Linked DNA regions of Neurospora crassa OR74A. The protein of the gene in region 1 interacts with the protein of each later gene in a pairwise test. Links are inferred from orthologs where the notes say so. Each region holds a gene or a part of one and is shown on either strand. Other genes may lie near its edges.

The links.
Region 2: the proteins of NCU06122 (region 1) and bd interact in a two-hybrid assay, tested with the Schizosaccharomyces pombe proteins (2 studies listed by BioGRID, with this or other methods). The link is inferred for Neurospora crassa OR74A from reciprocal best matches to the Schizosaccharomyces pombe genes gap1 and ras1.

Annotation. Positions count from the first base shown.
Region 1 is NC_026507.1:1,732,430-1,736,898, reverse strand, and holds the start of NCU06122 (GTPase activating protein Sar1), read left to right. Parts: upstream 1-1,399; 5' UTR 1,400-2,479; coding exon 2,480-2,681; intron 2,682-2,739; coding exon 2,740-2,873; intron 2,874-2,928; coding exon 2,929-3,177; intron 3,178-3,235; coding exon 3,236-4,469.
Region 2 is NC_026504.1:5,116,801-5,121,183, forward strand, and holds bd (Ras-like protein), read right to left. Parts: upstream 2,880-4,383; 5' UTR 2,771-2,879; coding exon of another isoform or gene 2,737-2,770; 5' UTR 2,697-2,736; intron 2,614-2,696; 5' UTR 2,474-2,613; coding exon of another isoform or gene 2,340-2,473; 5' UTR 2,118-2,339; coding exon 2,106-2,117; intron 1,991-2,105; coding exon 1,876-1,990; intron 1,783-1,875; coding exon 1,507-1,782; intron 1,443-1,506; coding exon 1,204-1,442; 3' UTR 248-1,203; downstream 1-247. Other genes in the region: NCU08822 (hypothetical protein), read left to right, coding at 2,340-2,473, 2,737-2,770, 2,880-3,344. UniProt on the Schizosaccharomyces pombe protein: Participates in the process of sexual differentiation and the determination of cell shape. Essential for mating and for recognition of the mating pheromone, but not for vegetative growth. Does not regulate the intracellular cAMP level.

The DNA.
Region 1 (4,469 bases):
TTATTACCTGAGCTGGCTGGCTTGGGTCTGTCCACCGTCTCCGTCTCCTTTCGGAAGCATAATTCAGCACTGCACAGGATGGATGGATCTGGCTGCGAAAAGGGCCGTGGGCGGGCAGTGGGCACTTTCATTGCCCTGGCGGGATGCAGGTCCATTGGAGAAGTTGGTGTGAAGGTCCGGTCTGTGGGTGTTCGGCCGTCCCAATCAACGGCCCCACTCTCTCGCGTTATCCGATGTACCTGACCAATCGACGGCATGTCTCCCCCTTCGAGGCCATCCCCAGGGGCAGCACACCCCCCCAGCTGCGACGTCGGTTTCTCACATGGCCTGAAAGTAGGTTGCCCCTCCCTGCAATGGATGGGGGACCCCATGGAAGCACCAAAGCGATTTCTTCTTTTGTGAGAATGTTGATTTTGAGGTTGCTTTGTCGAATGCGACAGCCTCCTCCTCCTCCTATCTTTGTTGTTGGTCCTGTGGTGGTGGTGGGTGCAGGTGGCCGCCAATTCGCTCGTCGCGTGAAATCACCCAACGGCGCCGTCCATCAATGCCCCGTTGCGCATGTTAACACGCTCCTTTATACATTTCGAGTCGGCGTCCAGTAGGTGGCGATGGAACTGTGCACGGGGGTCCATGCCTGTGAGCCAAGTGTTTCTGGTTCCTGATTTCGAGGCCGGTAAAGGCGAATCTGCAACAGACATCCCCGTCACCTGCCCTGCTTCCCGTCTCCTTCTCATTGTTTCAGGGACATGGAGGTGCAATATCGGAATACATGGTGGATGAACCCCTTGGAGTGTAATGTCGACCTGGAGGTGGTGGGCGATACCTAGCCCAGACGGCGACCCTGTCCCTCCGAACCCTTTTGAAGTCTGAACCCTTCCACTTCTCGCTGTTGGAACCTTTCCTTTTCCGGTCCCCTGCTCCACCATGGACTACAATCCATGCCTCTTGTTATCGACAATTGCACTTGTTCATTCGAGCTGTTTTGACTCTGAGACGGACCGCCGATTCTCTTTGGGTATTGGATCTTTTTAGCGTGCTTGGTTCGGCACTCAGCTCGAGACACAAGACATCATCTCCTTTTGTTTCGTACCAGCTCAACCACGCTCCTTTGAAACTGAAGGAAGTACCTGACTTGAGGTTATCTTGACGGATTTAGCTGCGGTTTTATCTCTACATCCATCCCTCTCTGGCTTAGCCTCCACTGCGTAATGACGCGGTAATTTACCTCCACAGCTAGGTACACTACCTCTACGGACGCAGGCGCCCCCTACCTACAAACCCAAAATACTATCGCCAGGTCCCTGGCCGGCTAGACTCCACAAGACTATACCGTATCTTGTCGTATCGAGCACTGCACCCACCACCAGGGCACGGCAACACTGCAACCACTGCAACTGCGATTTTTCGCTTCAAGCAAAGTTCCCACCCACGCGTTTCTTCCCCCTCTTTTCCCTCTCCACAGTTTCACCTTCCACTCACAACTCAACCTCTCTTGGTCTCCTCAGACCGATCGAGGCGGTCTCTCTTTTTACCTCTAGCCAAACTCGAGTCGAGCGCGGCTTGACCACAATCTCACCATCCGTCGCCTTGCACATTTGTCCCCAAATCTGCCAAATTTCCTACTGCATTCTTGTGCATTCCGTCGTGCTGCATCCCCCAGCGCGCAGTGCACGTCAAAGCAGCCCAGGGCAGCCAGGTCTCGCCCCCCCCCCCCCCCAAAAGAGAGAGAGGCCCAACCGGAAGTTTTGCGCTGGGGCCCTCCCGCAATTCGAAAAAGGAACCCGACCAACGAACGGTCCCTCCAACCGAACCCGTCCATTCCTCGCATTGCACCAAGTGAAATCCATCGGCCTACCACCACGAAACGACGCAGGCCCCTAACATCTGTCTAGCACCTATAGACGCCAACGACACCCAGCGTTTCGAACCGTCCGATCAGTCTCTTTCTTTGTTCACATTACAGCAACAACAATCACCTCGACGCCCGCTTCCGTTGCCTCATTCTGCTCGAGACGCATCTTGCAATTACGACGGACGGACCGCGTCCAGCTACAAGTCGACCGCCTCTCGCTTTTCCCCGCTACCCTGCGACTGTGAGGCCCCAATTGCTCTCGAACTTTGTTGACTTTGATCCGTCACGACATTCGCTTGCCTCCATCCACTGCGTCGGCTACATCGACGTTACTCCCGAAAGGATAATATTGTGGCGCTCGCTGGACGACCATTGCTTTCGCTCCCTGCCGAAACCGTCTTCGTGCGACCTTTGTGGACGTCGACCGTCGCTCCTTTCGCAATCTCTTGGCACCCTAATCTCCATCAGCGTGTCCCAGCGGGACCACGCTCAACGTCGAGCCGACCTCAGTCGCGCGACCCATCAATCCTCAGTACAGAATAGAGCAACACTCTTTGCAATCCTTTTCATTCGGGCCACGCGTCTGACCCTCTCGACACCTCATCGTCACCCGCCACATTTGCCAGAATGTCTGTTATGTTGCAGACACCTTCTCGAGCTTCTACCGGATCCACCACTTCCTTCCACCCTCTCTCCCGACAAAACACCATGTCTTCCTACGAGGGCTCGCGGTCTACCCGCCAGTCCAAGCGGTATTCCATGTCGGCCTTGTACATGTCCATGTCCGCCAATGACTCCGATCTCATAATCGAAGATGAGCTTGCTAGAGGTTAGCAGTCCATGTGCACCTACTCGGTCGAAGACGCATACTAATTCCCTGGCCACAGCGCAAAAGGTGCTGCGGGATCTCAAGACCAAGATCTCCTCGCAATCCAAAAAGAATTTCGTACTTGAGAAAGATGTCCGCTACTTGGACTCGCGTATTGCCCTGCTGATCCAAAATCGCATGGCTTTGGAAGAGGTAGGCCTACCTCAGCAACTTCTTTCTGTAAACGATATACTGACCTGCAATACAGCAAAACGAAGTCGCCAGTCACCTCGAAGACGCAACCGATATACAAGAGGGCGCCTTCCCCAACGATGACAAGACACAAAAATACGGAAACCTGCTCTTCCTGCTACAATCGGAGCCCAGGCACATTGCGCATCTGTGTAGGCTTGTCACCATGGCCGAGATTGATTCACTGCTTCAGACGGTCATGTTCACCATCTACGGAAATCAATACGAGAGTCGCGAAGAGCATCTGCTCTTGACCATGTTTCAGGTTAGCTTGTGATCCTCCTTTGTGTTGCTACCTAGGAAATTCGCTAACCATGCCGTAGTCTGTCCTCACCTACCAATTCGACAATACGCCTGAATACTCTTCGCTTCTTCGCGCCAACACCCCGGTCTCGAGAATGATGACGACATACACGAGGAGAGGTCCAGGCCAGAGCTTTTTGAAATCGGTTTTGGCTGATAGGATCAACAGCCTGATTGAGCTCAAGGATCTGGACCTCGAAATTAACCCGCTCAAGGTCTATGAGCGCATGATTGAAGAGGCCGAAGCGAAAGACCCTGAGAGTCCCGAGGCGATGCTCCCCAAGGGGATTACGCAGGAAGAGGCCGCTGAGAACCCCAAGGTTCAGGAGATCATCAATCCGCGGCTGACCATGTTGACAGAGATTGCCAATGGATTCTTGGAAACCATCATCGATGGGCTCGAAGAAACCCCTTACGGAATCCGGTGGATTTGCAAGCAAATTCGGAGCTTGACAAAGAGGAAATACCCCGATGCCAATGATCAGATCATTTGCACGCTCATTGGCAGTTTCTTCTTCCTGCGCTTCATCAACCCAGCAATCGTCACACCCAAGTCGTATATGCTCATCGACGGCACACCTGCCGACAAGCCGAGAAAGACGCTCACCTACGTCGCAAAAATGCTCCAGAACCTGGCCAATAAGCCCTCATACGCCAAGGAACCGTACATGGCCAAGCTACAGCCTTTTATCCATGCCAACAAGGACAAGGTCAACCGATTTATGCTCGAACTGTGCGAGGTGCAAGATTTCTACGAGACACTTGAGATGGACAACTACGTCGCCCTTTCCAAGAAGGATTTGCAGCTGGACATTACGCTCAACGAAATCTACGCTATGCACGGATTGCTCGAAAAGCACGCTGGTGAGCTGTACAAGGACGAGAACTCCCATCTGGCCATCATCATGTCAGAGTTGGGTACTGCTCCACCTCAGGTGCCGCGAAAGGAGAACAGGGTCATCAATTTGCCGCTATTCAGTAGGTGGGAAACGGCCATTGACGATCTGACCGCCGCCCTGGACATTACCCAAGAAGAGGTCTTCTTTATGGAAGCGAAGTCGATTTTTGTGCAGATTTTGCGAACGATCCCGGCAAACTCGTCAGTAGCTAGGAGGCCACTGCGGCTTGAACGCATCGCCGACGCGGCTGCCACGTCCAAGAACGATGCGGTGATGGTCCGTAAAGGTATCCGGGCGATGGAGCTGCTGAGTCAGTTGCAGGAACTGAAGGTTGTCGACAAGAGTGACCAATTCT
Region 2 (4,383 bases), on another chromosome or scaffold:
TATCCATTTGTCGAGTCATATGCTTGCTGTCTATCATTTGTCAGCTGCGTGTGCTCAGGTTGTTTGTTACCGGAAAAGGCTTCAGCCTTGTTGGGTCATATGGCCATTTGGTCATAGGTATGCAAGGCCGATGTGTCCCGGCAGGAATCACTTATTGCAGTGAGAACTACCTAGACGAGCAGCTGTGGACTCTCAACAGTCCATGCCCGTGGATTCCAGACATTACAGCCATGCGTATCACGACATTGGAGCACCTCATAAATACTTTCAAGATACTTGAGACATACGAATAACGGGAGGAAACACACTCGGACCAGGCACTAACGAAGACAACGAAAAAAGGCAGAAGGTTTGATAAGAATGAATTACAAATAAACGGTTTTCTTTCGAGAGTTTGCAAACCCAGTATCGATCAGAATCCCCACCATGACATAACATCCATAGCAAGTACAGTTCTCTCGCGGATAAACGACTCCCAAAATGTGTAAAGTGAAAAAAGGTAGCAGAAAGAAGTATTTGATCACAAAATCCGCGGATCGTGAAACACGGACAGAAACGTGCCAACAAAACCCCCAGACAGACCAGACCAGACCAGATAGAACCAGGATTATACCAAACCAAAACCAACCAACCCCTTCGCCGAACCAACCAGACCGAACCCAGCCTTCCCTTCTTCCCTCGGCGACCTCTTCCAGACGCTGATAGAGAAACCGACCACGCCTCACGAACGCCAAGGAGCGGATTGTAGCAGCGGCGGTGTGATATTAAAAACCCAGCGGCCGGTTGGTAACTGAAAGCAACTTTTTCAAGTCGCTCAGCTCATCCGCATAAGTGCCACTGCAACAAATGCCCACAAAATGCAAAGAATGTGTGTGCCCGGTCCCGGTTCCTAACCCCCTTCTCGCCTGAATTTCTCCAAACGCGGATATTCCTTCCGCTGGTCCCGTGGTCCTGAGCCCGACTGGTCACCGTACGTGAGCTAAGGTATGGGCGTGGCCGTCCGATATGGCTTTTGTGTTTCGGTTGTTTGCACATCCATGTCGTCTATAAAGTCCGGATTTTGTGTGCGTGTGTGCGTGTGTGTGTGTGTGTGTGTGTGTGTGTGTGTGTGTGTGTGTGTGTGTGATCGTCCATCTCTTCATTGCAAACGTGTCCCAATTCTTTTAACTCCCCGCTTGCTCTTCCCCTGTTGGTTTCGATCATTCACATCATTATGCACTTGGCGCAGCAGCCTGCTTGGACGTCCTCGTCACCGACGTCCATCTGCTTAACTGCCCCATTGTTGTTGGCGAATGAGGTGCCGCCGACCTTCTCGCCGAGCTTCTTGTCCTCTTTCCTGATTTCGCGGACGAGATCGTAGAAAGCGTTCTCAACGTTGTGTTGTGTCTTGGCGGAAGTCTCGATGTACTTGGTACCGAACTCGGCGGCAAGAGCTTGTCCCTCTGTTGTCAAGTGTTGTCAGCGTACTGTCCTGGCCCTCGCAAGGATGAAGAAGTGAAAACCTACCCTGTTCCGAAACAACGCGCTCTCCCCTCAAATCGTACTTGTTTCCGACGATGATCATGGGGAACGAGTCCCTGTCCTTGACCCTAAGAATCTGTTGCTGGTAGATTCTGATTTCCTCAAAGCTTTCCCTCGAGTTGATGGCGAAAACGAGCAGGAAGCCTTCACCAGTGCGCATGTACTGCTCGCGCATGGCGGAGTACTCTTCTTGGCCGGCGGTATCTAGAATGTCGAGAAGGGCGACCTCATTGTCGATGGTGCATTGCTTGCGGTACGAATCTATTGAGCTCAAGTTAGTCCACGGTTCACTAGGCCACAACCACGACCAAGAAAATTGGAACGTGGATTGAGAGGGTCCAGGTTGTAACGCACCCTCGATTGTAGGATCATATTCGTCAAGGAAGTGACCCTGGATTAGCTGGATGGTAAGGCACGATTTACCGACACCACCGCCACCGACAACCACCAGCTTGTATTCTCTTGTGAACTGCGTAAAGGGGAAGAGAGCGATGTCAGCCAAATGAATTGCCGCAGGCAATTGAAACCAAGAGTACGCCTCAATCGAGGAGGGCGAAATAATGCTGGCTGGCGGAGCGACTTACCTTGTTGGCCATTGTGGCTATTGATTAAAGAAGATGTAAAATGTAAAAGGATGGAAAAAGTCGAGATGCCGACACGAGGGGGCAAGATTGAATGGCCTCCTCAAATGATTAAATGGTTTAAGTCGCTCGCGCAACGGTGCAGACAAACGTCACTGGGTGGTGAAGACAGCCCTCAGGGGGGATCCTGGATGCGAAGGCGGGTAGAATTAAAGGTCGAAGGATGGGATGGCGACGATGGCTGTAGAAGGAGGAAGCGAGGTTCCTTGGAAGAAAGCGTGTTGTCAGGGGAAGCGCGCAGTCTTGACGACGGAGAAGCGAGCGAGCGAGCAGAAGCGGAAGTGGAAGTGGAAGTGGAAGTGGAAGTTGAGGTGAGCCGGACGGCAAGTGGTGGGAAGTTGTTCGGGTGGTGGTTGCGGTGAATTGAGCGGCGGGTGCGCAGAGTGCAGTGCAGCAGAGTGCAGCAGCCGGTGTGGAGACGAGCAAGCAGGAACGACGAGGAAACGAGCCACTACTGGCCGATGATCAGTGCTGCCCAGGGATCCCGTCCGTCTCTGTCTTAGGGGAGGGAGGCTACAAGCTAGTGGTACATACCTGCTAGGTAGAGGGAGGGGCGCTAGTAGATTTGCAGAAGCTGCGGTAGGGAGAAAGCGGAAGTCGGCCGACTGGTAGGTAGGTAGGTAGGTAGGTAGGTAGAAGTTGTACAGTATGGATGGAAGGAGGGTTCTTGGTTCGTTGGATATCGGGCGATTAGAGCTAAGAAAATTCTGTCGACAGAAAGAAAATGGTGGTTGCTGGCTGGCAAGGGACAGGAAACGCGGCGATGAAGAACCACAAACGGTGCTTTTCTCTCCAGTTTGTGACGTGGGAAAAATAAGAAAAGGGTCGAGGTTGGACAGCAGTCGCGAAGAAGGAAAGAAGATGGAAACGCCAGATGGGAAATGGCGTGAGCTACGGAATATTGCCTGCTCAAAGAAGTGTGGGTTTGCTGGCCGCGAAATGGAGAGCTGCAGGCAAAAGGACTCTTCCTGGTCTTGTTCTCACACTGTCCGTCTTGGTGAACTGAGTGAGGTTGCAAGGGAAATAGGTGCTGTAGCTTCAAGGGGTAGCCAAGACCCGGCGATGCACGGGCGCCCAAGTGGTGGTGGACGTGCCCCAAAAAGGAGATGGTCGCTCATGGTTCGAGCTCGTTTCTGGGGCAGGCAGGGCTATGGCCCGATTGATTGGCCGACGGAGCTTTAGTTCAAGTTCAGTTCTCTTCTCGCAGCGCCCAACCGGGAGGGTTCAGGAAAGGCAGTTCAACATCCACACTGTATATCACAGAAGTGGAAGTCCGTCACGACGGACGGGGGCCGGGGCCTTTATCGCTCGCCTTTGTTGAATGTCCACTTTCTCTATCGATCATTTGGGAGGACGGAGGCAAGGCGGTCACGGGCAAAACTGTATTGTCTGATGGTTGGAATAGATCATGGCGTCGAGATGCGATTTCCGTCTGCTTCACTCATGTGTGATGACTGTACGCACCGAACATCAGTATCTCACCATCCGACCAATGCCCGGCGCAAACCTCGACGATAGCAGGGCAGGTAATCATCCAGATCCTGCTTGGGCGCCGACACCGTCTCTCCGTCTAGACATTTCCGTCCTAGTCGTCCCACGAGCCCCAGTTCTCGATGGGCCATTGCAAATTACCCCTACGACGCTGGACGTGGACTCGACTCGCCAGTAGCCGACCGCTTCTGCTTGCGGTTCCCGAGCCTCTTCATCCACGTCCCTGGGACCGTTTTGTCTCACTCTCTTGCTATCTCCATTCCTCCTTTTCTTATTTCCTTGGGACAAGGCATCCACTCCCCGTGTTTCGACATAAGGCAACAGCAGCACACATACCGTAACCAGCACGGCGGTTCAGCCTTGAGCCCTAAGTAGCCTTTCGGTCCAAGGGATCTGGACTTGCGTTGGAAGGAAGATCACCAATCTCGAATCATGATGACCAACCAGAACATATGCACAGCTCTTCCCCAAAGACGGCACAACCCCCACTCTGTCTTCTCACCTCAGCCAACGACTATGGTATATACCGAGTTAGGCGGCACAGCATGCAAGTCAGCTTCTAGGTACGGCACGTCCCTGCCACGAACTGGCACGACCTAGCTCCTGGGCACATTGCTCAAGAGCCTCACCACCACCATGTCAAAGGATCGCAAAATCGTGACATTGAAAAGGTACCCGATCATTGTGTGCTGGTCCTCGGTACTGTGTCTTCTGCTGTCGAAGCAAGATG